Drosophila melanogaster: one gene and its partners. The protein of the gene in region 4 interacts with the protein of the main gene of each other region in a pairwise test. Each region holds a gene or a part of one and is shown on either strand. Other genes may lie near its edges. The genes, in order: dap, Gadd45, Set8 and PCNA.

Evidence for each region.
Region 1: the proteins of PCNA (region 4) and dap interact in a two-hybrid assay, tested with the Drosophila melanogaster proteins (2 studies listed by BioGRID).
Region 2: the proteins of PCNA (region 4) and Gadd45 interact in a two-hybrid assay, tested with the Drosophila melanogaster proteins (one study listed by BioGRID).
Region 3: the proteins of PCNA (region 4) and Set8 interact in a two-hybrid assay, tested with the Drosophila melanogaster proteins (one study listed by BioGRID).

What each region holds. Positions count from the first base shown.
Region 1 is NT_033778.4:9,709,394-9,718,388, forward strand, and holds dap (dacapo), read left to right. Parts: upstream 1-2,927; 5' UTR 2,928-3,546; coding exon 3,547-3,710; intron 3,711-3,769; coding exon 3,770-4,170; intron 4,171-5,517; coding exon 5,518-5,690; 3' UTR 5,691-6,863; downstream 6,864-8,995. Other genes in the region: sqa (spaghetti-squash activator), read right to left, coding at 7,126-8,507.
Region 2 is NT_033778.4:7,246,686-7,252,935, forward strand, and holds Gadd45 (growth arrest and DNA damage-inducible 45), read left to right. Parts: upstream 1-2,475; 5' UTR 2,476-2,735; coding exon 2,736-3,227; 3' UTR 3,228-3,970; downstream 3,971-6,250.
Region 3 is NT_033777.3:14,313,216-14,322,643, reverse strand, and holds Set8 (SET domain containing 8), read right to left. Parts: upstream 6,607-9,428; 5' UTR 6,441-6,606; intron 6,334-6,440; 5' UTR 6,264-6,333; intron 6,168-6,263; 5' UTR 6,033-6,167; coding exon 5,777-6,032; intron 5,706-5,776; coding exon 3,886-5,705; 3' UTR 2,150-3,885; downstream 1-2,149. Other genes in the region: Afti (aftiphilin), read left to right, coding at 1-858; Crz (corazonin), read right to left, coding at 7,035-7,284, 7,494-7,708; CG31321 (uncharacterized protein), read right to left, coding at 8,470-8,602, 8,669-8,825, 9,037-9,154, 9,218-9,428. UniProt on the Drosophila melanogaster protein: Histone methyltransferase that specifically monomethylates 'Lys-20' of histone H4. H4 'Lys-20' monomethylation is enriched during mitosis and represents a specific tag for epigenetic transcriptional repression.
Region 4 is NT_033778.4:20,261,160-20,267,282, forward strand, and holds PCNA (proliferating cell nuclear antigen), read right to left. Parts: upstream 1,725-6,123; 5' UTR 1,563-1,724; coding exon 1,455-1,562; intron 1,395-1,454; coding exon 720-1,394; 3' UTR 595-719; downstream 1-594. Other genes in the region: plu (plutonium), read right to left, coding at 1,867-1,970, 2,025-2,429, 2,487-2,502; RpS18 (ribosomal protein S18), read left to right, coding at 2,949-2,951, 3,088-3,273, 3,334-3,603; CG8908 (uncharacterized protein), read left to right, coding at 3,773-3,999, 4,064-4,565, 4,618-5,760, 5,810-6,123. UniProt on the Drosophila melanogaster protein: Likely to be an auxiliary protein of DNA polymerase delta complex and is probably involved in the control of DNA replication and repair by increasing the polymerase's processibility.

The DNA of each region.
Region 1 (8,995 bases), about 11 Mb from region 4:
TCAGCACAAGTGCCTTTTCCATGATTGATCGCTTGAATGGAAAGTAGCACAGTAGCCACAGGATCAGCAAAGGATTAGCCTGTACGGTAGCCAGTCCAAATATTTGCATACTTGCCCGACTATTTGCATTCCACTTTAAGGAAAATCCATCAATAACCACCGATCCGACCGCAATTTGTCCGAGCAAAAGATCCAAGATACCAAAAAGTCATTTATAAATGTCCTGCGCAGAGATTTTGTAATATTAATGATTGGTCATTTGCCAGGAAGAAATGCTTTGTAACACTTGGAGAAGATCGTTTGGGTTGTTTTTGGTGTTTTGATGGGGATCGCTACGACTGTGGCTGAGATATATAAATGGCTTTGCTGCTCAGATGGTCATTAGTGCAATTAATCCCTGGGTCCTAACTCGAGTTATCCCAAAAAAGTTTCATATTATTAAAAATCAATTAATAGGTTTCTGGTTTTTCAGGATCCTAACGTAATTTTATGTGTCTACTATAAAAAGTATATATTTCCAATTGGCCCTTTTCTTACCTATTAAAAGTTATTAGTTCTTAGTGAGCCACTCCCACAACAAGTTGGGTTGAACCCCTGAAATGTCCTTAGTCGCAGCACACCTGCCTAGCAAAACTTCCAAAATTGCGGTCACAGTTCCGTGCGCCGAACAGTTTTTATGGTAATTTTCTTACGGAGCCGAGAATGTTTCAAAAAAATATCTTACGCCACTTTCGAGCGTTACTTAGCAGGCCGGTCATGCTCGCTGAGCATTTGCACCCCCACCGGAACACGTGGCGGATCGGACTAGGTTCTTGGCTATGAGTTGCCATATAGAGTGGGATATCTCTGACCTCCTCCTGGGGTGGAATGGGCTGGCTCGATTGTCCGCTGTGTGCTGAGGCGATAAGACGCGTTGCATTCGAAATGAGTGTAACGTATATTTTATACGAGACAAGGCAGGACTGGGCTTTGTTGAGGTTTTAGTAGATACGAGATAATGTTCTACCGACCGCGCGACCTTTGACTAGGAAACACTGATGATATTTGCCTAGCCCTTATCTACTCGGGGGGGGGGGGGGGGGGCCATAGTTGAGTGCATATTAGGGAATTCGGATAAGATCCAATTCGATCCTACCAGCATTAAGGACTGCAATCAAGTGAATACCTTGAGTGCCATCCAATGCCCGCACGTTCCACGACAATCCTTTAGGATCTGCCCTCATAAGCGGGACACTTGAGAACCGCTTTTCCACCTCTTTTCTCAGCCTTTTTTTTTTTTGTTTTTCCGCGTGTGTTGACACAACCCATATAAAGCCAGGATATCCTGCTCGGGAGGAAATTACTTAAAGGGATCACGAACTCTTCCCCTTTCGAAAAACTCCTTCTTGAGTTGTTTATGTTTTCAGGCATGACTGCCGCCGAACGCCAGTAGAATTCTCAAATTTGTTATAAAGTGTGTAAATTCACGTTGCTTTTCTTTTTGAGGGAGGGTGTGTCCCATAAACAGAAAACCGAACCACAAGGGATCGGATCTTATGGGAGTGGAAAGGAACGAATTATGGATGGATGATGATGCTGCCTAATCGAACGTTCGTCAAACGATCTCTGCCTTTTTTGGGGTGATTGCACTCCGTTTTTTCTTGTTTTTTTTTTTCTCGGGTTTTTGTGTGGAAAGCCGATGGGTTTTCCCATTATTTCGTCGAGTGCAAAGGACAAAGCAAATGATGTCTTTAGTCTACGAATCTGACTTCCAAGGCTTTGTCCCAATTCTTTCCTTCTTATTTAATTGGATTTGTTCAAACAATATAAATCTCGTTTTATTGCCTTTGGTAGTGTAATTTAATTTTTTACGATTTTGCACACGAAAGGAAAAAAACTTTATGAAAATGCAGCACGAAATGAGCAGAAAACTTGCGTTTCACAAAGTGAACCATAACGGAAATTTGAAATACCCAGTGCTATGCAAACACCACAAGGAAATTCGAACTAGACGTGCACATTATTTTACATACATACATACATACATCGTACAAATGTATATTTGGTGGACCAGTGCCCCACAATGCAAGCGCGATTTTCCCCTTGGCAACACGAGGAAAGTGAAAAGAATTGGTGCCCCAAATGCCCCCTGCCACTTCCCTCCGACGACTAAAAATCCAGTTTGAGGCCAAACAAACCAAAACCATAACATCGTTTTTTCGTATCTTCCCATCGCAATCGCAACTAAAAGTACAGCTCCACCGATGCAACAACAACCAAGAAGGCAGCGAACAGAACACACGGATGGAAATGGCAGGGATGGGTAGATGGCGTGCGAGAGAGTGGGAGACATATGGTGAGAGAGAGAGAGGTTGTGGAAGTTGTGACGACTTTCTTGATACGCTCTATGAAGGAACCTTGGACAGTTTAAAATATAATTAAATTGGTTATTTCAAAAACATTAAAAATAAAATCTGGTTGAATACTGTTTACAAATGAACTATGGGCTTATGAGCTGTGAATATTATTTGACAGGAAATAATGAAAATAATGATAATAATAATAATAATAATAATAATGAATACGTATTATATATTGTACTATATGATGATTCCAACAATCAATAATTATATTAAAGCTCATAATATCAAAACTTTTAAACTCAGATGCCTTAGTTAAATTTTGTTAGGAAACTTTTATTTTTCTGAGTATTTTTTATACGTTTGCTATATAAGTTTAAAGAACAATTCAAAGGAAGTGCATTGCTCTTTCGATATGATTAACATTAAAAGCGCATTCTTTTTCCCTATCTCTTTCGCTCCTGCTGCTTTTCCGATCTTTTCGAATTCGAGGGTTGCTACAGAGAGAGCGTGAACCGCTCTGAATTTCCAGTTGGCAACGCCTCTGGTGGTTGTTTGACGTTTGCTTTTGCCCAGTGTTTTATTTATCTTTTATTCGTTTCTCCGAGTTCGTCGAGAGAGGTTCGCTTCGATCGGTAGCGCTATATTTAAAAATCTAGTGCGCAGTGCGCTCATAGCCGAAAAGGTTAACAAACATCGCTGTAAAAACGACTTCAAGTTGTAAAGACAAATATAATACAAAGGTGCTGCCATTGGCAGCTAACTCATACAAAAACTCCAACGAGACCCGCAAACGTTTCGTTTTGTGAGTCGACTAGCAGTGCAGTGTGTTCGAATCGCCATTCAAAGATAGTGACCAAGTGCTATTGGACCAAGGCATTTGTTTATAATTATTTTTATAAACAATTGCAGCGTGAAATTTCACTTTTGAACGCAGCAAGACGTAAAATAAGCTGCAGCACAACGCACACACAGAACACTCGCTCTCCCTCTCACATACACACACGCTCGCGTGTGGAGACCGTGATTTGTATTCGTGTGGAGACTGCCTCTCTCTCTTTTGGGGCTGTCTGAACACAAAGTTTTGGCGCCAAAAGTTTGACAGTTCGCTTTGGCGTGTAATTCGCAAACAAGTGGCAAGAAAAGTGCGTCTCAAAACAGAGTAGAAAACACTAGGGGATCCCAAAAAAATATATATTGACTCAACATGGTCAGTGCCCGAGTCCTGAATCCTGTGATGATCAGTGAGTTCTGCAAGATGAGCAGCAGCCCGGCGGTGAGTCGCAATCTGGCATGCGGTCGTCAGTTGAATCGCATAAAGCGTGACCTCTTCGGTAGCTCCAAATCCGCCGAGGGTACAGCCAACAAAACGTGAGTTTCTATAATAACAGTTGGATTTTGACCAATAGCTAACAATATATCCTCTTTAGACCCTTTAATTCCGAACTGGAGCGCCATCAAGAACTGGCCACGCAAAAATGGGGCTTTGACTTCCGCGCCGGCTGCCCTTTAGCTGAAAAATCACCCTACATTTGGGAGCGCGTCAGCTTCCAGGAGTCGAGCTTCGCCCCAGAGATGTACACCCTAACACGGGCCGCCCACGTACGCCCTTCCGCGGATGCAAGTCCTAGCGACATGGACATTTTGGTCAACGAGCGCTCAGAACGGGAGAACTTTGGCTCCAATCTGGTCAATTCCTCGCTAGAGTCGAACACGGATAATGAATCTTGTTACGACTCCCAGGACGAGTCGCTGGCAATGCGGCTTAGCTCCTCCAGCACGACAAGCACATCCTCCATAGTCCTGCGCAAGAGACAGCCAAAAATCACAGGTGAGTTTTGGGGGATGTTCTACACCATTTTGATCAGTAGAGCTTGACGGTTCCCAGGGTCAGGCTTCATTTCACTTCGATAGACGTTACAAAGTGTTTTCCCATAGCTTTCCTTTTATTCCCTGTTTATTTTCGGTTCTCAGGAGGAAGTTGAGGGTGTTTTTTTTTTTTTTTTAACTTATCAGGCTTGTTTTGTAATCGGACTGATACGATATTATTTTTCAAAATTATCTGTAGAGTAGAGAGTATTATCTAAAAATTTCCGAATATAGTGCTCGAGATATAAAAGTAGATTCGTGCTCTTTGTTTTGCAAACTCGATGAAAACGATTTTCATCAATGATTTTATGCCAAACCAATATTTTGTGCAGGATTTTGTACTTACAATACTAAACTCCATAAGGGGTTGTTTGATTGGTTTTAAGTCCACTCCTTCGCATTTATTGTTTATATTCACGTTTTAGTTGTGGGCGTTTTTCGTGAAACTTAGACCCAAATTATAGCAATTAGCCAATGCTTTGTGGGAGATTTATTTTCGTCCAGAAGGGTAAGTCAAAGCTGACTGCAGCTGTTTCAGCTCCTCATCTCCCTAAACCGAATGATTCTCTTCTGATCCTCCACAACGCGGGGGTTGGTTTCCAGATCGATAGCATGCGGGCTGGCTGGCTGCATCTATAAATGCCAACAGCTGTGACTCCGCTTTGTCTATGGCCTGACCTCATTATAGAAAACGGGAGAGGGGTCTGGGGATCGGCTTTCAATGCACCACCATCCAGAGTCCATGGTCTTATCAAACCTCCCTTTGATTGCTTTGTACTGAGCGTTTTTTATAAATGCCACTAGCACATGCATGTGTAATTATAATCATAAAAAAATTGTGTCTGTTCGGAACATAATAAATGCACCCGCATCGGGTGGTCAGTAGGGAAGCCTTTGAATCCCCCAACGCCTCAACTCGCTTTACTTAAAGTGCACTTTTTGCTGCTTTGGCCAGTAAGCTAGAGCTCATAATTTATGCAGTTATGTAGCACCACCACTCTTGCTTTCACCGGACTACCTGAAAACCGGCTAAAGACCGACTGTCTGGCTGCCGTCTGGCATTTATTTGCTACCCCTGTGCGGATCTGCAACCCTCTGGTAGGGAAGTGCTGCCGTCCACGTGCCACAATCTGGGAATCTACCCGAAACCGAAATCAAAATGTGCAAAAACAGAAAAACAGGCGGCGCCTGCTGTTTAGGGATCAGTGACTTGTGAACAGGGGCAACCGGAAATGCAGCAGCTGACTTTGATTTGGCAATTCCACCTAACACGTATTAATAACACTCGTTTTCCTTCCTTTGTTTACAGAATTCATGAAGGAGCGCAAACGTCTGGCCCAGGCACCCAAGAAACTATCGCCCGCAAAGCGCATGCGCACCAGTTCTCCCAGTTCGTCCGCCACTTCCAGCTCCAGCTCCAGCGGTGGATTTGGGTTGGGGGCACACTTTGGGGCGATGTTGAAGCGGCCGCGCCACAACTAATGCTCCAGATTCGCTGGCCAACCCACCGAATTGCAATTTGTAATTTTATTTTTTACAAGCCACTGCGATTGTGTAGTATTTCCTAATTTTTTATTACGAACCTTTTTATGCAGTGCAAGGGCGACAGTTGCGAATATTAATCGTTAGTCTTCAACTACTCGTAACCAGTAATTAGTTGTAAGTCAACCAGTAAGCTCGAGCTAAATGAAACTTTTTAGATTTCTCTAGTGAGAAATGCCATAAACTAAGTGATTAGTTCTTAACAACAAACAACTATTGAACAAGAAGAGAGAGACCGCAAGCTAAATGGAATTAGTCTTAACTATCTTGAAGCCAACCGAAATTTAACCTTTATAACGATGGAATACTAACTTTACATAACTTTGTGAAATCCTTGCAAATTTCGCCGGCAACTTTTGCATTTGAAATTTGCCGGGTGAACAAAACTCATCCTTTCTCTGCCCTGCCACTTCATCCAAGTACTGAAACTGAGGGGAGAGTAGAATTGAGTTTTGTCTTGCATATTAAGGGCGCCAAAACGATGCCCCAATAAGCCGCATTTCGGCTCATTGCTGCTTTGTTTTTGCGACCTACTAACATTGTAACCAATTCGACCAGTGGAAAACAAAAAAAAAAAAGAGGAATGCCTTTGAATTAACTTCGTCAATTTCTGCACGTTTGGATGCCTTATTTATATGAATGCCGCCGAATGGACACAAATTGTCGCGCTCTCATTTCTTAACCAGTGCTAAAAATGTCTTTTATGATTTGCTATGATCTCTGGGCAAATTATGAAAACAATTTTGCCTGAAACTATCATGTACAAAAACTAGATTATTATACATACTATACACATAGGCAGAGCCTATTCTTCATAACACTTATACAAAGCATTAATTTGTAAGGCCTAACTAAGAACAAATCCAAAGTATTCTCCTAATATTTATATGTATAGACACTCTATGTATAATTAAACCATATTCAACTCATACATCAATAAACAAAACAAAAACAACGCGATTGTCCTGTTTCAAAATTACCAACACATCCGCATTACTTTGGTTGTAGACGTAGCAGTAAAATGTAGTTTACTAAAACAATTTTGTACATTTTATAAGTTAATATTTGTTTTTCTGCAATAAATTGTTTTTGATTTTCTAGTTGGTAGTACATAAATCGCGTTTTTAATTTTTAATTTCATTTTTATAAAATATCGTGGGATGCCAACAAAATTCAATCCCGCGTCAATAGAAACGAATCATTGCTTCAGTTTTATTCAATAAATTAATTTGATTTATTGCTTACATCAAGTACATAAATATTAATTTGTTCCATTCGACGCTTTGTAGATTTACCTATGTGCCAATTAGTTGATCTGTACTCTACATACAAATATATATATCGCATATATACAGAGGGCTGTGGATATGGGCACCTACTTGCCCGCCGCCTTCTCCTCCAGCTGGGCTTGAATGTGGCGTACGTTGTGGCCGCCGCCATTGGGGTTGTGGCGCTGGAAGAAGGCGTTGATGGAGCTCATGGAGCGGTACTCCAGATTGTCGCTGACCCGCCAGTCCACGCTGATGCTCTGGTGACGACCCACCGGATTGCGGATGCGGGTCTCGTTGTATTTCTCCAACAAATGCAGCAGGCAATCCTTGGTGGTGTTGGCCGCCTCCTCCAGATTCACGGTTTGATGAGTGTCCGGCAGCCCAACGGGCACATCGCGACTCATCTGATTTATCCTGAACTTGGCTCGACGACTGCTGGCCGATTCGTTGCTGGCGCTGGTGGTAATTGGATTGCTGGCGCCGGTGGAGCTTGGGTTGCTGGCGCTGGTCGAGATTGAGTTGCTGGCGTTGGAGGCTATATAATTGCTGGAGCTGGTGTTACTGCTTCTGGTGCTGCTGGAGATCACCTTGGAAGAGGTGGTGCTGGTTCTTTGTACTTGCTGGTTGGTGAAGCTCCTGGCATTGGAACTGCTCATGGTTTGCACCGTGGACTTTCGCTGCGACTGGACCAGGGATTTGCTAGAGGAGCTATTTCCGTTGCTTAGCTTGGGTGTTTCCTCGATGGACTGCTGCAATCTCACAGACAGCGAACTGATCTTCGTCTTGCCCTTTCCGTCATCGTAGGTGCTTTGGCTCTGGGAACTGCTGCTGGCCTGGCTGAAGAGTCCTCCTTTCAAAGTGGGACGATTCCAGCTACTGCTCGAAGTGGTTTTGCTGGTCCACCTATTGCCTTCCTGGCTGATCTCCGAGGTTTTACTAGAAGTACTGCCAGAAGGAGCAACAGATGCTGGAGCAGTTGAGGTTGGCACAGGAGCAGCAGCAGCAGCAGCAGCAGCAGGAGGATCAGCAGGCGCTCCACTGCTGCTCCCGTTATTGTTCGCATCCCCAAGCTTGGTGTTGATCTCGGCCAGCATGAGCAGGTGATCGGATAGCTTTCGTATCTCATCCGCCAGATTCACCCGCTCTCCGGAACTCCGCCGACCCAGCAGGTACGTGGTATCCGAGTTCCTTCGATCGAAGGTGTGCAGATAGCTCTTCATGCTGCGCTGCTGCTGGGCGGTGGACTGGCTGCCAGAGAACTCATCGAAGTTCTCGTTGAAGAGATGCTGCGGCGTGGGAGTTGACGGACTGGAGGTGGCTACCGTCGGGAACAGCTTCTCCCGAGACTCGTTGATGGGCGTGGCCACCGAGCGAGGACTCTCGTTTTCCGCACTGCGGGATTCGTCCTCTTCCGGAAGATCTTCAATATCTCCCCGTTCGTCATCCGTCAAAGTGGATATTGAATCGCAGGGCGAAGGCGAACAAACTGGAAATATAGCACAGACCTATAAGCATTTTTCCATAGAAGTCGTATATGTTTACATAGAAGTTATGGGGTTATTGCCAAAAACTGTTTTCAGACGGGTTAATGTACACAATATGGTTATATACATACGGATCGAGCATGCTCATGAGTTCAGAGAGTTGTGTAATATGGCTCTTTGGAACATCAAAATGTGCGTTTGACTAATGTTCTACACAAAAAAAAGCTATGCGTCAATACAGCTGCTAAAGAAAAGGTTATACAAAATTAATATTTCTCTTACGAATTGAAATATTTATAATTAAATTGTGTTATTAATTCTGATTCAAAAGAAAATTTTACTGAGAATGAGCTATATTCTTTTACATGTGCGTAACTTTTGGATCTAACTTTTAACTTTTTTTTGAAACTTTGATATATATAGTAATTCTTCCTGACGGACAAACCACAAATGAACATGAGACTGACTTTGGAATTTGACTGCGATCTCT
Region 2 (6,250 bases), about 13 Mb from region 4:
TGCAGGTACTCAGACTTGCGGACTTTGGACCGGCCTAAAATGGAATGCCGATAGCCGAATGCCGAATGTGGGGGAACTCTTCAAAAACCAGTTCCCACTCTCTTTTGACTCTTTGACTCATTTGGCTCTTCGCTTGGCATTTGGGTTTCGGTTTGGGTTTGGGCCCAGTTTAGTGCTGCGCCGGCGTGACTCAGCAGTGGGGCAACCGCCGGCGAAGTGCCTCCGATCCATGCCCGATCACTCCGTGGGCTCCACGATTCTCCCTCGAAATAAGCCAGCAATGAAATCCATCCAATGTGGTGGCTTCACATGTGATGGGCGCATGTTGCACACACAACTGGGTGGCATGGCACACAAAAGCAACGGGCAGAGGTGCCATTGAAGTCCCACGCAAAAGGCTAAAAATATCTGAATTCCTTGGGTTCGATTGTGACGTGCGGATCAAGCTGGATGAAGAACCAAAACTTCTAATCCGCACGTTCGCCGCAGCAATAGAAAATGCTGTAGTGGTGCCCTTTATGCACTTGTGACAACTCGAATTCCGCGCTGGAATGACAAGGCAATAGTTTTATTTTCTGTCACTGCAAATGCGTATTTAAGTAATAGATATGCATATTTGTTATAAAACAAGCTAAAATGGTACTCACTAGTATGATTATCTTGAAAAATATCACATGGGGTTAGAAACGGTAAAATAAGCAATTTTTAAGTACTACGATTAGTATAATTTGCGTATATGCGTATAATTTTTATGAATGGGTCAATTATTAAGCATAACAAATATAAAATATGCTTTTTATAATGATATTTTCATAATTACAAGTATTGGGCGAACAGATGACCAATGATGTCTGTCCGGTTTTAGCTAGAAAACCCCCAAAATGCCACTGCATTTCCGCGGTTCATTGGCCACTTTCGAGGCGAATTTGGCGCGCAAATTCGTAGCTGAGTCGGCGATTTCCAACTTTCAGCACTTCCGCGGCTGATCCACTTACTACAGGTATGCCCCTCATAAGCACGACAGTTGTTTATGTTTTCGGGTCTAAATACATGCATAGGTCAGTAATTCGAATCACCCTACTCTTAATCATAGTAGTATGTTATTGAAAGACCAGAAGCTTCTTCAAATTGCATGCACATATATATGTACATATTTACATACATATGTTATTGTTATGATCATGGGCTGACTATCAGCTTGGTTGGGTTGAGTTAAACATATCACCTGCCCAGATGCACAGATGAAAACAAGTGATCTTAACCTAAATATAACCCTTCTTATTTTGCCTTCTTTAGGGTTGTATACTTTTCATAGCTTTTTACTTTTTTTGTCGTAAATCTTGCTGAATTACATGCTGCAGCTGCCCAGGAATTGTTTTCAATTCTACGCTGCACGCTCAGCAGTTTGTTCAACTCCAAAAAACCAAAACACATGTATGTATGTATGTACATACATATGTAGGCATCGATTTTCAGGTGCTATTTATAGCCTTAACAAAACCTGCGAACCTATGCTGATTCGGCGATTAAAGTAATAATTAATTACTAAAGTGCACGGCCAGCGGTAGTTGAACCCCTTAGGAGAAGCGAGCTGGAAATTCCGCCGGATGGCGTAGTTCTCGGGTTCAATTGATAAAACTCAGTGGCGATCTCGACTGGCGATTCCGACACGTTCCCACGTGCCGAATGTGCAGCGCGGAGGGGGGGAATTTAAAATTGGAATGCCGCGATAAATTGATTAGCAACTCCCTTTGTGTTTGGACATGCGATTCTGTTTGTCCGGCCGTCTGGCCAAATGCAAAAAGAATAAGATCGTGCGAAGCCTGGCCAGAAATAAAATTCGGGTTAACTTGGGTAAGTAAGGTCATTCGTTAATCATACGCCTAGTATACGCGAGTTGCGCATACGTCGCGTTGGTCGCCGAGATGCGACACACTTGGACCTGTTGCTCGCCATCAGCCATCAGGTATTAGTGGTCCATTCACGGGGTTCTGGCGAAATGTATGTACTAAATTTAAGAAAACCGTTCAAGTGAAATTTATTTACGAATTTTTGTTCGAATTTTGATGAGCAAATTGCGATTTACTCAAAGCATGTTCGCACACGATTTTTTCGCGCGAAAGATAATGAAAGCGAAGCTCTTACTTAAGGGAGACACTTTCCCTGCCTTTGCGAGTGGGAGAGCCGAGTTTCCGGGGGAGCCAAGTTTCCTGACCCCATTTGGAGCGTCCAAAACTGCAGATTGCAGTTTGGGTGTGATGGAAAGAAACCCCCAATCTGCTAATTGCCGCGACATCAACGGAAATCTTTCGGATCCCAAAAAAAGTAATGAAAAAACCCGATTTGGCTGAAAGAGCGCAAGAGCGGGAGAGCGAGCCCCCCTAAAAAGCTCTCGCTCTCGCATTTCTGATGAAATTCAGTGGAATTCTCAGGCGGCGGAGAGCGCGGCTATAAAAGCGTTCGCTCGCCAACCGAAAGCATTCATTGTGAAATTGCCACTCAAAATTGAAACAGCGCGGACAAACGGTTGAAGAAACACAAAGCCCAGTGCGAAAAGAATTTCATAAGCAAAAGTTAATCGGGTGCTAAACAAAAACACTCGAAAGCAAAGCAAAGCATAGCAAAAGCAACAACAAACAGTGCCAGCTGAAAGTGCCCAAAAAGTGGAAGCCAACGGCTCGAAAATAACACAAAACCCAAAGCAAACGCACAACCAAACGGATAACACCCACAATATGGTCGTCGAGGAGAACTGCAGCATGCACCACCTGGAGCGCGAACTGGACCTGGAGCTAGAGATCGATATGGCCATGGAGTGTGCCCCCATCGGACGCACCATCAAGTCGGCCCTTCTAAGGGCCCAGAGCGAGGCGCGTGTGATCGTGGGCCTGTCCGCCGCCATCAACGTGCTCTCCAAGTCGCCGGAGGGATCCCTCTTCTGCCTGATGGCCCAGCCCAAGGACGGCGACTCTGCCACCCACATGCACGAGGTACTGCTGGAGGCCTTTTGCTACGAGAACGACATCTACGTGATCAAGGTGGACGACGCCACCAAGCTGAGCCGCATCCTCGGCCAGGACTCCGTCGAGTCGTGCTGCCTGGTCCAGAAGGTCTGGGCCGACGCCCCCGAGGAGCAGCTGACCAAGGCCGAGAACCAGCTAGTCGACTACTGCGAGGCCCACTGGGACGCCCCCCAGCAGCCCATTGTCCAGCTGCCGGCTGTGTAGGCGCGTGTGAGCGGGACAGCCAGATGTCACAGAATTGAATGGCCCCGCACAGTGGGCGCAAGCAAACTCTAATGGAAACCAGTTGCTGGGGGTTGATGGCCCCGAACGTCTTGGAGAGTTCCCGAGGGAATCCGACGTTTCGTGGCGCTGCCAGAAGCCCACCGGCACATGTACACCTACATAGGATATATAGAATACGACATATGTATATACCCTAACCTGCTGTATTCAGGAAGCAGGAGAGGGAGGAGGGGAGCAGAGATGGATAAGCCGGCGCCTTGGCGGATAATTGAAACTGAAAGGCGACCTTCGAGGCGGCAGTAACTGCAGCTGAGATACCCGCGGAAGTCGCGCACAGATACTCACGCACACAGCCAAGGAGCAGCATCACACACAAGCGCGTGACCAGCTGCCGAACCAACAAAACATATGTGCACATATGTACACAGAACCATACATAAATATAGCCAATTTGTTTCTGTATAATTTTCGCTTTAAGCGTCGCGCAAATTTACTGATAATGACAATTATTCTGTACGCCGTAAATTGTAAATTATACTTAAAAGGAGAGCAGCCAATTGCATGTATACCATTAAAGTTTTGTTATGTTAGCTTTTCCAAAAAAAAAACATCAGATGAAAGCACACAAAAAAATGTTATCTAACTTAAGCACAAAAAGAAAATTGAAAAAGGTTTGAAAAAAACTGATAAAAAATGAAAAATAAAAATCTTGTATAAAAACCAAACTTTCTTCGTCTTGTTTTTTGCCCATCCCTTTCAGCACTCTCTTCCAGCAATCCAAACTGACGTCAATGGGTACAAATCCCTTGGATTTGGATCGGGAGGCCGCCCGACTCATCAATCTTTGCATAACTGCCGGGGTTTCCCCATCGAGCGTGCCTTGCATATAGGGCCCCATCGGACGCCTTATCAATGAATTCTCGGAACCCAGTGGAATGGAAAACACGCGTGAGCGCCGAAATCGGGGCCATCCATCTGGGGGAGACTGGGAGAAGCCCTCGGCTCGAAGTATGCAGTTTTATCAACTTAGATAATGGGTGCGAGAATAGTCAGTTTGCCTAGTTAATTGTTCCCATCACTGATCAGTGGGAAAGTCAATTAGAAGTATGGGTCATGCTTATAGGGGGAAAAAAGTAAAGCACCGTGGAGCACTTGAGTTAATCAGAGTCAATGGGCGTTATAAAAATCGTACTGGGATATTTACGATCCAATGAACGAGACAATTTCATACGAGACCCACTTTGTTTCATTTGCGAACACGCTCGCGATCATGCCAATTGACTTGGCCAACCAGACAGATGTTGAGCATCGAGACACGTTAATGTAATCAATGCCAGACATCGCGCTATGTTGGCCTAATGGATGGATGGACCGGACAGCAGAGACAATAAATAGATAGCCCATCGCACGGAGGAGCTGCCATGCGAGCAGCTCGTGCCGTGGGAAAATCACTGGGAAGAGTTTGCCACTGATTAGGACCATTAGCATGGATCCATGTGGCCAAGACATAGGTCAGTTCGGCGGATCGTCTGGACACGACGCGATGCGATCGGGCGGAGATAATTTGGAACAGTTTAGCGCCTGTTCCAGTCAAATTTTCCGTCTTTCCGAAACAAGACTTTAAAATGTGGTTAGTTATGGCCTTAACGTGATAATCATAATCATCCTCTAGTAGAACTCTGTTTGGAGTAGCAATTCATTATGTATTGCCAAGTCATCGGTTAGCACAATTACATAATATTGAGCAACTTATTCGTTTTTTTCAGATCGATATACTTCAATTGCATACTTCGATATTTATTGTTCCACTTTAGAGAATATTGTTTGATTAGCTTGTCCATTGCACAATTGGATAACTGCATCGGTTCGAGGCGGTTTCAGATTGCCTATGCCCTTCTAATTATCACTTCTCCTATTGTCTCAGTGCATTTCAGCGACCTGGTGCGACATCCAATTGGGTTAATTGCCGGGTGTTCGGCAAAATCCAAGTGATCTGTTAGCGCTACTTACACAAGCCATCCCCACTTAATCATCGCCGCGTGTACTTTACCCCGATCCAGCGAAACGAGCGTGAATTCCAAAGAACGACCAGAGTGCTCAATGCCAATTCCGATTCGGCCAAGTCACTGCGAGTTGGGTAACGAGCCATGCGGCCATTGACTGGCCAATTGAAGCTTTGGCTTTGGCTTTGGCTTGGGGCCAAGCTTTCCCCGCCAGCTGGACAACTGGAAAAGGGGAAGTTTGGACCCGAGACCAGACTCATGCAAACATGATCATCTGCGAGCGTGACTTGGCGGATTCCCGGGGGCGGACGGAGTGCAAGCTTCAGAGATTCGCCTCTACCGGCGACGTCGTCGAAGGTATATATGATTCATATTGGTTTATAGCGGTGCTAGCCCCGCCAGCTGGAAATTAGCATAATTCTCAATGCGAATCAAAACGATTCGGAATGCCCCGCTCGATACTCGAACTCATACTCATATACTCACACTCGACTTACAACCTGTTGGCAAACTAGTTTCGGATTCGTGCGACAGGCCAAAGTTTCTGTTTCTGCCAACCTGCACATGTGATTGTCATGAGCGCGTGCTGAAGGCCCAGCGTGAAAACCCCTCCTCCTCCATCATCTTTTCTGGGTGGTGGTAAGCCGATGCAATGGTAGTATCTGGCCGGGATCAGGAACAAATATGTTGTCTTCGGGCGAATCGAAAACAAGGTGTTGTTATTATTAATTCGATTTACGCGTTAGCTGGCATTTAAGCGCGCGTTGAGCGACGCGGATTTCCCCGTAGGCGTGTAGCACCATGGTTATGCGGAATCACAGCCGCTTATCACTCTGTTTTGAGTTCCAGTCCGGCGGATTATGCGGCGTAGAATTATCAGCCGCGCCATACGCAGAACCAACTGCGCATGGAAGTGCGACGGATGGGCTGGGATAAAGGTACATTTGTACGTGGCATTTGGTGGCCAGACTCGGGAGTGGAAATCTCCGACACTCCACT
Region 3 (9,428 bases), on a different chromosome or scaffold from region 4:
TTTAGTGATTTTCAATCTATGCCGGCGCCAAGGTCTCGAATTGATACACCCACTTTTGGCGAACAGATGATCCTTAGTCCGGCTATTCTGCTGCCCCAAGCCATTCCGCTGGCAAAGAAGCCAGCTGCAACTATTGAATGGGGCGACAATGCTCTGTCTAGCATAAATGCCGAGGAAATGGCCAGGATAGAGGAGTTGTTCTCCTCGCAGGCCAAACCGCTCACCATAAGCGCTTCGGTGGCCAAGAAACCAGCTCCTTCCACGCCAGCTCAGTCTCAGCCTCAAGAAGACGATGAATGGTCGGACTTTGTCTCTGTTCCAGTCACCCAACAGCAACCGCATCATCAGCAAAACGCAATTGCTAACAACAATAATATAGTCAACAGCAACGCTAGGAAACCAGCTGCTCCCAAAGAAGATGATTGGTCGGATTTTGTGAGCAGTACTCCGCCAGCACGACCGGCTCCACAATTCAATTCCGGTGCGTGGCAGAGCGCTAATTTCTACAACAATCCCTTGAGTTTGTACCAGGCGCAGCAGCAGCTGCAGCAACAGCCTCATAGCAATCTAGTGCCCAAGGGCAGCACCAGCAGCAGCAATAACAACAATGTGCCAGCCATTCCACAGCAAATACACATCATGCACGACTTCTCGACTGCACCCGTGTCTGGAGGATTGGGTGTGGGTGCCACCTACCAGCAGCAGCATCAGCGGCAGCAGTTCCAAATCGGCAACGCCAAGGTGGCTCCACGCATCTCCCTGATCCCCGATCTCAGCTTCGTTGCACCGGCCTTGCCCACAAATGCTGGTGCGTTCATGGGTGCGCTACCGAAACCCACTTTCGGTGGCAAGAAATGACACAAGAAGCTGAGGGTGGGCGGTGGGCGGCTCCAGCAGCAGCAGCAGCGTCCGCATGTGGGCGCTCCTCGCCCACTGGGTGGCGGCGAGGCCACCATCCTCACATAGGCGAAAGGATCGATCGCGCACCCGGGTAGCCAGTCAGTATTATGAATCCGTCTGATATTCACCATAATCCGAACCGTCACACATTGTAGTTTTGAGGCAAGCTGTGTTCCATGTTGTTGTCGTTGTTGTTAACCTTGTCGTTGGCATAATTGTTGTTGTTGTTGTGCATGCATGTTGTAGTCTTAGGCGTAAAAATCAGGATTTAGAACGAAACAAACAAGTAACCATTTTGTGCTATAGTTTGATTCTAAATTTATGTTTTACTTAATTTGACGAAAAAAATTATACTTTTGAAAAATAATATTTTGTAGAGCGAAAAAACTGTTAGTATGCTTGAAAAATTCTTTGTTTTTATCTAATATTATTTAAATGATCGGATATACTTTTAGAATTCGAATTATTGGGTAAATAAGTCAAAAAACTCTAGAAGAATTGTAAAGTAAAACGAAAAAGAATACCGCACACCAGTGAAATTATGTAATTTAAGGGATATTTCTGAAATCCTGCGAGATTTTAAGGTTTAAGCTTATGCATCCGATAGCATGCAATATCTCTATGCGGTCATATCAATATAACAACATAAGATTTATCATAGATGACCAAAAAAGAAAAGATACAAATTAATAACAAGGATTTCGGAAGTATCCCAAGTAAGGAAAAAATCGGCATTACTTTTAAAAATGTAAAACTATTAGTTCCATGATGATTTTAGCTTTAATCAACCCCAAAGTTAGAACCCTAAATCGGAAAACTCCGCCTATCTGAGGAATATCATCAGTTAATCCCTGCGGCAAAGCCTACAAATGCATTCCACTAGCGGCGAACTTCCCCTTTTGTATATCCATAACAAATACTCCAATGCGATTGCGGGCCACCACCACCACATGGATGAAAACCCAACCCGCCTGATGCGAATTTTTTCTATATTGTGTACTTATAACAAGCGACAGGAAAGCGAACTAACCAAGCAAACATAGTTAACGTGTTGTATATGAAATAGGATTTGTTAGTTGATAGAAGAACTCCCATGCATTCCAAGTGTAAATGAGTGTGACTGGTTGCCATGATGATCTCCAGGTAATCGCTGGAAAACGAAACCCAATCCGCTCCAGTTCTTGATTATTGTTTTGTTCGTGTTAATGTGTTTTCATTTATTTATTTTACTTTATGTTACGCACTTTAAGTTGAATGTGTCTGTGTGTGTGTGTGTCTGAAAAATTATAAACAATTATCGACTAAAACTAAGTGTTTGATGTAATCATATGTTTTTAGGCTTAAATGTAAATTACAAATAGATTTCAATTTGTTTTGTTTCATTTTGCCAAGTCAATGAAAAAAAAAGGTAAAAACAAGAACATGATTATAGATGGTTGCTGCTTGGTTTTAAATAAATGAATTACCTATGTACTAGAACGTATTAAAATATATTTACCATATTGTATAATTAAAAGATATGCGCTGATTAAAATAAACCTATTTAAAAAAACAAAATCCTTCAATATATTGGAGCATTCATTTAAAATACAGAAATCTGGTTCAAATGGGACAACACAAATTTGAACTAAGTCGATTAACTAACGATGCCGTATTTTCGGGGGCAGGGGCGGGGTGATTTATCATTTAATTGCTTGAGTGTGTGATTGAAACCTGCGTGTAAGTAGAGAGATTATCAGTAAGTCGAAGCACTAGGTGTCCAGCAGGCCACTACTCTCCTGGAGAAGCCTCGAGAATTAATGAGTGTGTCAATGGGTTAAATCAACAATTCAGTAGTGTCAGTTCCTAGGGGTTTTTTTTTTTTTTTTGGGACAGGTGCGAGGGGGAGTGTATAGCTCTATGGCAGTAAATAGTACGTAATAGTTAGAAATTACACATGTATCTAATATAAATATCTATATAAATAGTGTACAATCGATTCTTGTCAATGTGAATGCGTGGCTTCATCAACATCATCATCTCTTTTCAAATGGTCAACAGTTTTTCGATTTCATTCAATTATCTTAAGATGCCTTAATGCTTAAGCGCGTTGTTTTTATTATTATTATTATCATTATTATCTCTCCTTAACTTTAGCCTTGCTCTAAACATAATGAAACGCTAACAAATCCAAAAAGATGCTCATGAGTTTGTGTAAGGAGGGAGGGGGAGGGGGGGGTTGCTTGGATCACGGGTGGATCGATAATGAGTCTTATAGGGATTGAATCGTAATCGTACAATTTAAAGGCATTTTGCTTTGGGGATCATGGGTCTAATATCAATTTACAATCTGTATAGTCTAGGTCTTTTTGATAAATTTGTTCTTAATTGATAATTTCGATTATTTCACTGACCCAAAGGGAAATATTAACTTCATTTGTAACTTATTTTGGTAACGCCGAAGATCGAAATTGACATTAGACCTATTTCTGAGGCAAACTTGTTAGAATTTACATTGATTACTTTTCGTCCCTGGCTGGAACCACCCTTGGGTGTGGGGCGTGTGGGTTTCGCTATCCGTTATGATATTTTGAACTAACAGTTTATATACTTTTCCTCAAATAAGATCTAAGCTCGGGGCTGCCCAGAACCGGTGTCAAATACGCCTCTCTCCATTCCGATCCAAATTGCCGGAATTCGTAATGATTGAATTGGTCTTACCAAAAATATAAGTGCTTGCAATATTGATATAATTTTGCTTAATGAAACTTTGTAAATGAATCAAATTCCGGCAACTTATCACACGGAAACAGGTCTGAAAACAATTTTGCAGTGGTTCAAGGCAAGGCAATCTACGTATAAAAGCTAAGAAAGATTCCCTCGAGCCAAAAACCAGTTTAGCCCAGGTCTTATTATTTTAAAGATTCTCTGCCCTGAACATGGTAAATAGTCTTCGTTTTAAGGCTGTACCGCAACCCCTTTCGCGAGCTCCTGGAGAGCTCTTCCTCAGAAGGCCAACCAAGGATGGTGCAATAGTGACTCCTTCGATCGGTCCCCGTAGTCATAGGTCAGTTCCTCGCCCGGCTCGATGTCGTCCTTGGCCAGGAGTACGAGATGCGGCCGCTGTTTGATAAGTACTACTTTGGTCATTAGGTTACCAGCCCGCGAGTGATTGATGAGGCGCCCCAGCTTGCCGGTGTCAACGGTTGCATCGATGCAGTACTGCTGGGACTTGTGCTTGAAGTAGTACATATAGCACCCAGCATTCTCGTCCAACGCATAGCGTTTCTCCCGTTCCGCGGCTTCGCCTATAGATATGAGATCTCCCACATACTCAACCACAAATTCGTTGCGTTTAAAGGGCCGATCGGCGACTACGCCTCTTCCCTTGCCCATAAAGTGGCGTACTTGGAGACCATCGCAGCGCTCTTCCAGCACTGCTTGCTCCAAGCCTCGCATCCATTCCTCCTTGACGGCCGTCTTAGTCTTGCGCACACTCCTTCGCACCGGGAAGAAGTCCGTCATCTCACGATTGCCGTTGGTGGCAGCCAAGGGCAGCGGCGGTTGTCCCTTCGTTGGCCCCTTGCTTTTGGTCTTTGATTTCACGGGCGCAGGCTTGAGCATCGTTTTCATGCCTGCTTTGTTGCTGTTCGCTGTGGCTGGTGCTTTGTTCTGGTTTTCACGCTCCTCGGCAGCCTTGATCAGGGCTCGAACGTCGTCCTCGTCATCTCCTTCATCATCGTCGTCGTCTAGCACCACGACGATATCATCCTGCTGCTGCTGCTGCTGTTGTGACGGTGGTTTCTGTAGCTGTGGCTGGTAAGGCGCTTGTGGCTTTGGCTGGTTCAGTCTTCGACGCGACTTGCAGGCTGCCACCGCTGCTGTTGTGGTCGGCAGTTTTCGAGGAGACTTGCGCGGCGACAATGGATCCGCAGATCCGACCTTGCAAATCCCTCCAGTTACCTTCAAAGCCGTTTTGATTGGCGAGGGGCAGAGGATGCGATGCGGTGTGGCTGGTTTTCTGCGTCGGGGTTGCCCCGCTGGCGATTCTGTATTGGCAGTGAGACCACAGGCTACTCCGCTGTCGCAAGAACTACTGTCATGTTGATCCAAATCGAAGTGCGGCAAGTCCAGCGCCTCCTTTTGTCCATTCAGGCTTACTATTTGATTGAAGCGTCCATTGAGACAGGCGTTTAGCACCGACGGAGGTGATGAGAATACGGCTCCGGCCAGTTCGAAGCTCCGATTGATCTTTATGCTGGAGGCTTTGGTGGGCGTGCGATCAATGTCCAGGGTCAGTACCGGCTCCTGCAGGAAGATGTTGTCGGTGCTGCTGCTGTGCGTGGAACTGTGGCTGTCCCTCAGCGCAGAGCGATGTGTCTGGAAGTCGGCCAGAGAGCCCAGTCCCTCGAGCGGCTCTGTGACCTTTTTGATGTGTGGAATTTCTGGAGTCTGCTGGATCTCCTGCATGACATCCATATCATGCTGATAAAAGGGCGAATTGGAGGACGCTCTGGAACTGCCATCGAACAGAAGTTCCTCCACCACCTGCTGCAGTTCCTCATCCATAAGCTTTTGTTCTGCCTTGGCATCTACTTCGTCGGCAAAGGGAAGGTTTTCATTTATCTGCTTGTCTGCCAGCTTTAGCACCTCGTCATCTAGTTTTATCTGTCCATTTAGCTCCTCATCGTCCAGTTTCAGTTCCTGATTTCCTAGATTCAACTGCTCCTCTGTGTGTATTGTCTTTTGGGAATCCTTAGCGGCAGCATTGGCTTTGAAGAAGTTCTCAATGGTGCGAGTTTGTGAGCGCGTGGCCAAGGGAACTCCTTGAAAAATAACAAACAAGGGGTATTTTAGCCAACACAGCTAACCTAAAAAGTACGAGAAGCGTACTCACCTATTGTGCGACCCGCTTTGTTGTCTTTGTTGTGTGCCATCATTGTGGCTTCCGGCAGTTGGCCATTTTGAGTGACCTTCATCAAACGGCAGTCTTTCCGCTTGGGGCTGGCAAAATACTGATCCTCCAGCAGATTTCCCGCCACATTCAGTGGCAGTGCCTGGTCAACAGGAATTCCCGATCCCGAGGAAGCTCCACCAGAGGATGAGGATGCGGCTTCCTTGGCGGGCCGTTGTCGTCTTCGCACCATTATCATTTAAAATGGGTTGGGGGCGCGTGATCGCTGTGTGGGCGGTAGTTACTTGGGTTTTTTTTTGGCGTTGGCGCGTTTTTTTCTGGACACGCGTTTTACCTCTCACACGCACACGCGGAAAAACCAAACTGCAATTACCTGAAGGTAACCGAAAAAAAACAAACAACAAAATTAACGTAGAACTCATAAAACAATTGCACATTACATGTGTGTTTTTTTTTCCTCCTTTTCTACCTCTCTTACTCTCGCTCTCTGCCATGCACTTTTCTCCTCTACTCGCCCCTCTTGCGTACAGTTTTCGCCACTGAAAAAACGTAGTCGTTATTGTTGTTGTGCGAAGCGAGCGAAAGAGGAAGAAGACCAAAAGAAGGGAAAAAAAGAGGGAAAATAATGTGAGTCCCCGCAATGCACCTCGCTCGGAAAACTGTCGTCATACGCAGAAGCGCATTTTTAAACGGATGCGATCGACTTTATGCATGGCAGCATTTCAATGGCGGGGGAAATTAATTGTTGCACTTTTCCGCAAACTTTTTTGGTTCTTTCTTTTTTGCGTCGGTTAGTGTTACCAGATTGCGCATCTGCTTTCACCTCTCGTGTATGCGGCCTCATTTTGTAATACCAAATTCAGTATATTTTCATATTTTCAGCATGTTTTAAAGCTGTGTTGGGCAGTACTAAAGTATTAAGTTGAAAAAGATATGTTAAATCAATTTGACTAAATATGAATTATTTATATCTAAGTGGTCTAATGGTACCATTAGAAAAAGACGAAGGTTTTGGATTTATTACATACATTTTCTAATGACCTCATGTAAATGGTATCTGAAACAACTCTATTATTTACACTATTTAAATATTTAAAATACTCTTCTTGGATATTAAAAAAAGACAGTTAAGTAATTCATAAAAATCCTGTGTTTTATTAACCGTTTACAACAATTTTTTTTACATTTTTGTAGCATTTTTTGCTAGTTTACAATAGATTTCACATTGAACGGATAGTGGCTAATGTTTTCCAAACACATTGGGTTCGGCGGATGCTCCTCCAGCGGCACTCAGCTCTTCTAGGAGTTCGTTGGACTGGCGATGTCTGTTGGGGATATTGGCACTTGAGTACAAAACATTCTCGCCATTAGAGTTGCTCAGTCTGGGATGGGCGCTGTTTTCGGGATCCGGATCTACTCGGTTGGCATTGAAGTCCGAACCGGGGACACAGTTTCTGGCAATCAGTGAACGTTGGAGCTGCGATAGACAGCTGGAGGAAAATTTTAAAATATTACTTTAATACATAAAAAACAAGAAAATAAGTAGGAATGAAGTGTATAAGTAGGGCAATTATAATATATAATTCCTTAGTTATATGATTTTAATAGGTATCTAATGGAATGTTTTTGGGTTATCATATTCTTTATGTATTTTAAAAATAAAGTTGTATATTTCTGTTATTCTTTCGATGAAACTTACCGCTCGAGCCTACGATCGCTGCTCCAATCCTGCAAATCGTAGAGATCCGTGAGTCCCAGCTCGCTGGCCCGATGGAGATGGCCGTTGGCCAGGAGGGGAGATGCGGCGTTAAAGGACCTCTTGCCGTTGGTCCATCCGCGGGAGTACTGGAAGGTCTGGCCCATGCACATGGAGAGCGTGAAGAGGAAGAGGGGCAGCAGCAGGAGGCGCAACATGTTTCGGCAGAAGTTAGTCCTGTTTGCAGGACACTCGGTAATCTCGGTTGGTTCCTTTCGCGTTCGAATCACAACTGCGTCTGAACTATTGATGCTCCTCGACGGGCTTTTATATCGTTGTTAGATAGCCATTAAGGATTGATGCCAAAGGATGCGTGATGTGTCTGCGTTTTCCTCCAGAATCCTTGCTTCAATGCCCTCCAGAAACACACACTTACCCAGATTAACCGGGGATTATTAGCACCCAATTGTTTCAACTTGGCAGTTAGCGCCCACATGTGGCCACGCCCCCAGCTGCCGCCACCGCCCCTTGTACCAACGACAGCTGGCTGCTCAAACTGAATGCATTTGCTGATTGGAAAACTACCACTTTTCCCGGGCAAAATCCGAAAGTGGGTGGCAAAAGGCAAAAGGCAAAAGGCTTAAAATAAAATGCTTGAGCCGAAAAAGTAATTTTCTTCCCACTCCAAAAGGGGAGTAAAATGTCCAAATTAGACTTGGATGACCTCAGGTAAATGGATTTGCAAATGGACTCGGCCAAAAATAGCAACGACTTTAATTAAGTTATATGTGGACTAGTTACAACTGTTTTTAATATGCTTACTAACTTTAAACTCACACTTTCAGCAAATGAAAGTTAAAGATCAACTCGTTGGTAATATAAAATGCTATAAAAATTCCCTATAAATATACAAAAAATATACAATTTATATTATAAATATATAAAAATATATATATAACACGGACTGGCATTAAGTACGTTACAGACTAGTTATTTCGCTATCGGGCACCACGCTTGCCCGATTGCCACCATTTGCTCCACCATTCTGCTCCATTTCCACGACGCTCTTCTCCTCGTTGGCCTTTCGACGCCGCAGCAGGAAGTAGCACACACTAGAATTAAAAAAAAAAATCATTTATAAATTTAGAGTTAACTTATGAAAACCTTAAATAACTTACACGAAGACCAAGACATTGGGAATGTAGAAGATTTCGCCAAAGAGCCAAATGGCACCTGGGAATGAATCCACCGTGCTCTTGTAAATCTCACTGAAGATTGGCGGGAAAATGAATTGGGCAATTGGCTCACTGATGCCAAAGATGGAGTACATTTTGCCTGAAAATTATTTAGTTATTATTATTTATTTAAAAAAATAAAATCCACTCTAAAAGTAGCTTAGCCCGAAAGTGTATTTACTAATTAGACGCAACCACATTTCAACTGCATTCCAAAGCATTCAAATTCTGCTATCTGAATATCAATCTCTCTCGTCTGACTAACCGGTATCTTATAGTCGAGACTATAGCGTTGACCTTAGTAAACTTACTCAGCTCGTCGCCAGCCACAATGCTCGAACCGATGGTCTTGATGGCAATCACTCGCAGACTGACGAACATGTCCACCACACCAGCAACGTAAAATGAGGCAGTGCTGCTGGAGAAGGCCTGCAGGAATTCAAAAACTATGCATATATACCACTGAATTCCAACTAGAATCTAAAAACTTACGAAAAGGACGCGGGAACAGACAATGGACAGGGCGGAGAGCATGCCAATCATGGAGTCGGAGACCTTGAGTAGCTTGCTCAAGATGGCAGTGCCAATGAAGGTGCCCACCAGTGCAGCGCCACTGGACAGGGTGAGGTAGATACTAAAGTCGTTGCCGTTCCAGGCGAGCTTCTTCAGCGTGAATCGATACCAATAGTCGTTCTCACCGGAA
Region 4 (6,123 bases):
AATTTGAATTGTTCATTGTTATACGCACTTTCTTGCTTTTTATTACTACGTATATGTAATCTCAAAGGTTTTTTTTATACAATTTTATATGACACAGCTTTCTATGTTTTATATACTCACAAACTAAGTATAGGATACGTATGTATGTAGCTTCTAGCATAAGCAAGCCAAGTATGCAAGTATTGGAAGCGTGTAAACACGCATTATTTATTACATGTATTTACATACGATTAATGCTCTTGAATGCAGGCACACACTCGCTTAAAGCTCTTTGTTGCAAAACTCCCGACTATGTGCCTCATACGGAACGAGTACTTATACACAGTGAATAGAATAATCGCCCATTATTACCCTTGATTTAGAACTCCCCAATGGTATGTCCAGATTTTCTGCAGCTGCGGAGGCTAACAAACTTCAATGTCGGAGATATGCCAAGGTTTTTTGTCTATCCCACGCCAAGGTGTTTGATAAACCACTACTCTTAATATGTATATGTTTGCAATCTCTCTCTCCTTAAACGATACCCAGTGTTATATATGGAATGCGAATAAATGGTTATTACGCCCTAAAATCAATTGTACAACTCAGCCAGTTAACATTACACAGTATAGCTTTTATTGATCAAAAAATGCGGATTTACTTAAAAGTTAGGAATGAAGTGAACGTGGGAAGATGAGTGGTGACGATGCGGGGACATAAATATGAGGAACACAGCTGACTTATGTCTCGTTGTCCTCGATCTTGGGTGCCAGGTAGTAGCGAATGTGACCCAGATCCTTGATCGCATACTCGACTACCAGCGGAACATCTGCGCACATCGACAGCTGCACTTGGGTGGACAATGGCGTCGCCTTTGTGAAGGCGTTCAGGTAGCGACAGGCAAATGTCAGCGTCACCGGCTCCTGCATCTCGATGATCACCGCCTCCTCCTCCTTGTCGACAGAGCCGGTTTGGGCTAGCTTAATGTTGGCGGTGCCCACATCGCCGCTGGCCGAGAACTTGACGCCCTCCTTGGTGCAGCAGATCACAACGGATTCGCTGAACTGCGCCAGATCGCGGCAGATGCGAGCGAACTCCATGGCCGGCATGCGGACCACGCACGAGAAGTCTGTCTCCGGTATGCCCAGGTGCTCCTGGTCGAGGTTCATCAGTTTCATCTCGTAGTCCGATACCTTCTCCTGGTTAGCCGATTCGAACATGATGGTGACAGTGTCGGCGTTATCCTGCGCCTTCATCGTCACATTGTCCTCGTTGTTGGCGCATTTCAGAATCTTGGCCATGCTGCCCAGATTCATGCCCATGGAGAGATTGCGGTCGCAGCGAAACTTGTCGAAGCCATCGGAACGCAGGGTCAGCGAGACAAGCGACACATGGGAGTTGTCCATGGCCTGTAGCTGTAAGTTGAACAAGGTGTTAGGGATATGCATTTAAAATCTTTTTTGTGCAATTTTTACCTGAATGCCGGAGTCGCTGCAATCGAAGGTTGCCTCATTGAGCAGATCCTTGATGGCATCCAAGATCTTCTTCAGGATGGTGGCTTGACCCAGGCGTGCCTCGAACATATTGAATGTGTTTTATTATTTAAATACTGATGACGGGCTTAAGAATTTAACAGCAGTAATGTTACCGCGGCTGTGACTTTGGGATGAATGATTAACGTGGGCTGTTTTTTTTTTTTACTTTCAGGCGGGCTAAATGAGCGGGATAGGGATGTGAAAAGCCACGGGCGATATCGACTGAATCTATCGATAGCAGCCAGCGAGCGGCCTGCCAACTGGTTTGATTAACATATTATGTTCACACTTTTTACAGAGTATATTTATTTCAAACATTAAAATTAATAAATTATTACAAAATGACAATACATTAACGCAGACGATTGCTAATAAAAGTGGGAGGAGAGCGCACATTGCGCTTATCTAAGCGGCCTGCAGCTTTAATCATTCCTCGCAGCTCTGCAACTCCCAGACCTGAAATAAATTTACTTTAATGTTACTATATAAATACACTTGATTTTTACTAACCATGCACTGTTTGAGTTTCTTGCACGCCCCTCGAATCCAATTGAGTAAAATAGGCCACCAAAGCGGAGTGTTTTTGCAGTGTAGCCACACAGAGGGCCGGGATCATCGAGGACAGATTGAAATCCTTGTAGGATCTTCGCCTCAACAGTTCCTTTACTAAAGTCAAATGCCCAGCATAAGTGGCCAGTGTCAGGGCATTTTGACCAAAATAGTTCATAGCAAAGATATTTGCACCGAATTCCAGCAGCGTACGAGCGCACTCAAATCGACCCAAATAGCAGGCCTTCAATAGGGCGGTATTCCCGTACATGTCCACATCCTCGAGGTTGTGCTGCTTGCCGTCGCGAGCCATGGTGCACACGATGCGCAGGGAAACGACATCGTCCTGTCCAACGCAGCTGAGTGCTTAAATGCAATGCATTTTTATCAATATTGGAAATTCGCATAGCTAATATAATTTACCATTTATTTCACCCATTCTGAAAAGCTTTCATATAACGGTGCTCTAGGGATGCAGTACGATAAAACGTATTACGAAATGTGGGGAATAAAATATAAAATATAAAGAAACATAAAATATGAAGTTTAATTTTTTAAATGTGCACACAGAGCATATCTAAATGGCACTTTAAGCATTTTCATTGAACAAAAGTTCGGCGCCTTTTGAATTTTTAAATTTGCATTAGTGATGGACCAGAGTGCGCCTAACAGCACACGGCGAACTATTAACAGCACGCGTCCCGAACGTGGCAGGCAATTTTAGGTTTTTTACTCCGCCTCAGGCAGCCACATTAATTCGGCCTTCTTTTCTTTTCCCGTTTCCGGTGAGTGGTGTGCTGCCCATTTGATTTTTCCAAAATTCTAAAACAAAATACCTCTTAATTCTTTACAGTGAGGAGTAAATACGAGAATACAAACGGCAAAATGGTGAGTTACCTCAAATATGTGCGATTCTGAGCGCCAAACGACAAATTTATAGTGAATTGCAAATGCCGTTAGCTGTTGGCAAAAATGGCGTGGTTTATATGCATTATACTAATGTTTTTTCTTTGCATTCTTGCAGTCGCTCGTCATCCCAGAGAAGTTCCAGCACATCCTGCGTATCATGAATACGAACATCGACGGCAAGCGCAAGGTTGGCATCGCCATGACCGCCATCAAGGGAGTGGGTCGCCGCTACTCCAACATTGTGCTGAAGAAGGCCGATGTCGATCTTACCAAGCGCGCCGGTGAGTGCACCGAGGAGGAGGTAAGTTGAGCACGCCCAATCCGTTCGAGACGCACACCAACCTAAATGCCATGTTTGCAGGTCGACAAGGTGGTGACCATCATCTCGAACCCTCTGCAGTACAAGGTGCCCAACTGGTTCCTCAACAGGCAGAAGGACATCATCGATGGCAAGTACTGGCAGCTGACCTCCTCCAACTTGGACTCGAAGCTGCGTGACGATCTGGAGCGTCTGAAGAAGATCCGCTCCCACCGTGGTCTGCGTCACTACTGGGGCCTCCGTGTGCGTGGCCAGCACACCAAGACCACCGGTCGTCGTGGTCGCACCGTGGGTGTGTCCAAGAAGAAGTAAGCTTAGCAGCGTTCCCTGCCGGAACGGATTTCCGATTCGACTTTAATTTTCACATCAACCACAAAATAAAAGAAAACACGGAAGCCGGAACGTTTTAGTGCGGAGTATACGTGAAGTTTGTTATATTTCTAATCTGTTTACGTGTTGGCGTCATCTAAATTGTACGAATATGTCCAGTGGTGAATCGCCGGTGAAGACGCAGAGCAGCATATGCCTGCTGTGGCTGGTCATATGCAAGACGGCCCGCTTCCAGTTCTCCAATACGCTAACCAGCGTGATCATCATTGTGGGGCCCATCGTAGTCTTCCTCGTTTATGCGGCGACGGCTTTGTTCCGAGAGCCGCAAGAGGAGACGTCGGTGAAGTACCCGCCCGTCAACATCACAACCAAAGTGCCGTATGTATAAGCCGATTGCCACAATAGTCCAGGCCACCCTGACAACACCACATGAACCAACCAGGTACATTTACTACTCACCTGAGAATCTAGTCTTGGCTGCTGTCATCGAGGATGTGGTTCACGATCTGAAGGCCGTTGGCAGTAAGGCCTTTGCCAGCGCATCTGAATTGAATAAAGCGCTGATAGGAAAGGATACATATGGCTACGTGGGCATTGAGTTTGATGACAGCTTCAGCGACATAAATGAGCTTCCGATTAATGTCACGGTGGGCCTGCGTTTTCCGCTTCACCTACGCAAGAATCCCAAGATGGTTTGGGACAACACTTCAATCTTGAAGCACTCCAAAATGGACGTTGATTACTATCAGGTGGAGGGATTTTTGGTTGTGCAAGCCAAGCTCAGCGAGGCGTTGATCAGGGCCAAAAACGAAGCCGTCGTCCTGCCGGAAGTAATCCTGCAGCACTATCCCGATGTCGCGGAAGTGGACAGATTGGATAATAGGGTAGCTTTGGGCGGAGTTCTCTTCCTGCCCGTCACCATATCCGCCGCATATCTTGCCCAAGTATGCACTAAGTTAGAAACTTTCATATATGATAGCTTAATGGTATTTTTAGATGATTGTGATGGAAAGGCGCGATCATTTGAGGGACATGCTGGAACTCATGGGTGTGAGGGCATGGATATACTGGTTGTCCTGGTTTCTGGTGGCCTTCCTGCTCCTGTCCATTCCCACCGTATTCATGGTTCTCTTGCTGAAGTGGCGTTACTTTTCGCTGAGTGATTCGTCGCTGGTGCTGTTCTTTCTGCTGGTCTACAATTTAGAGGTCCTCACGTCGGCCTTCATGATTTCGTCCTTTTTCTCGGACACGGTCGGCGTGCAAGTGGCCATAGTGATCGTGCACCTGATTGGCTGCCTGCCATGGCGCCTATTGCTCATGGGCTATGTTCCCACTTTGCCGCGCACCATATTCGTCTGCTTGTTCCTGAACAGCTCGTTGGCCATGGGACTGCAGCAGTTCATTAAGAGCGAAAACCTTCGTTTGGGCTTGCACTGGACATATCTCTTTGAGCGCACCGATTGGGATGAATTTGTGCACCTGGGCCCCATCCTCCTTTTCATGCTGTTTGGCTGCCTGTTGCGCATACTGGTGCTGGCTTACATGGAACAGCTGAGGAGTTATCAAAATAGAAAGTGGTATTTTCCGGTCCAGCCTTCCTTTTGGTGTCGATGGAATAGGCGACCTCGATCCGATGACTTCGATGTCGAAGGGCAGGAGACGGGCATCAGAGGCCATCCCTTAATTGTGCGGGCCAGGAACATTGAAAAGGTCTTCAACGAATGGATTGCAGTTAAAGATCTCAATCTGAACTTTTACCAAGACGAGATCACCGTATTTCTTGGCCACAACGATTCGGGCAAGTCGACAATCTTAATGCTGCTAGCCGGTTTCTTAAGGCCCAGCGCCGGCGAAATCACCATCAACGGCTATGACTTGGCCACCAATCAGAGGAAAGCCCGGCAATCCATGTGCATTTGTCCGCAGCCCAATGTGCTGTTCGAGAAGGTTAACGCACGATGGCACCTCCAGTTCTACTGCCGCCTCAAGGGACTGAACCGGCAGGAGGCCTCTGCCGAGACGGACAAGTATCTGGAGATCGGCCGCTTGCAGGACTTTGCCAATACCAAGGTGAAGAATCTGCCGAGCGGTATTAAGCGTATGCTCATGCTGTGCTGCAATCTGTGCGGAAACTCCAAGGTACTATCCCTATCCTTGTGGCCTTTAGTGTAAAGTTCCTGTATTGCAGATACTCCTGTTGGACGAGCCCGGCACCAGCATGGATCCTGCAATGCGCAGCAACATGTGGGACCTGCTGAGGCGGGAACGCAAGGGTCGCTGCATCATCATGGCCACGCACAACATGAACGAGGCCGAGGTGGTTGCGGATCAGATTGTGGTCCTGTGCGATGCCCAGGTGATCGGATACGGCACCACGGGCTTTCTCACCCAGATCGCGGGTACGGGCTCATCTTATCTGCTGATCTGCACCAAGATGGACACGTGCATTGTGGCGGAGGTGACGAACTTTCTGCAAATCCGTTTTCCTGACATCAAGCTGCA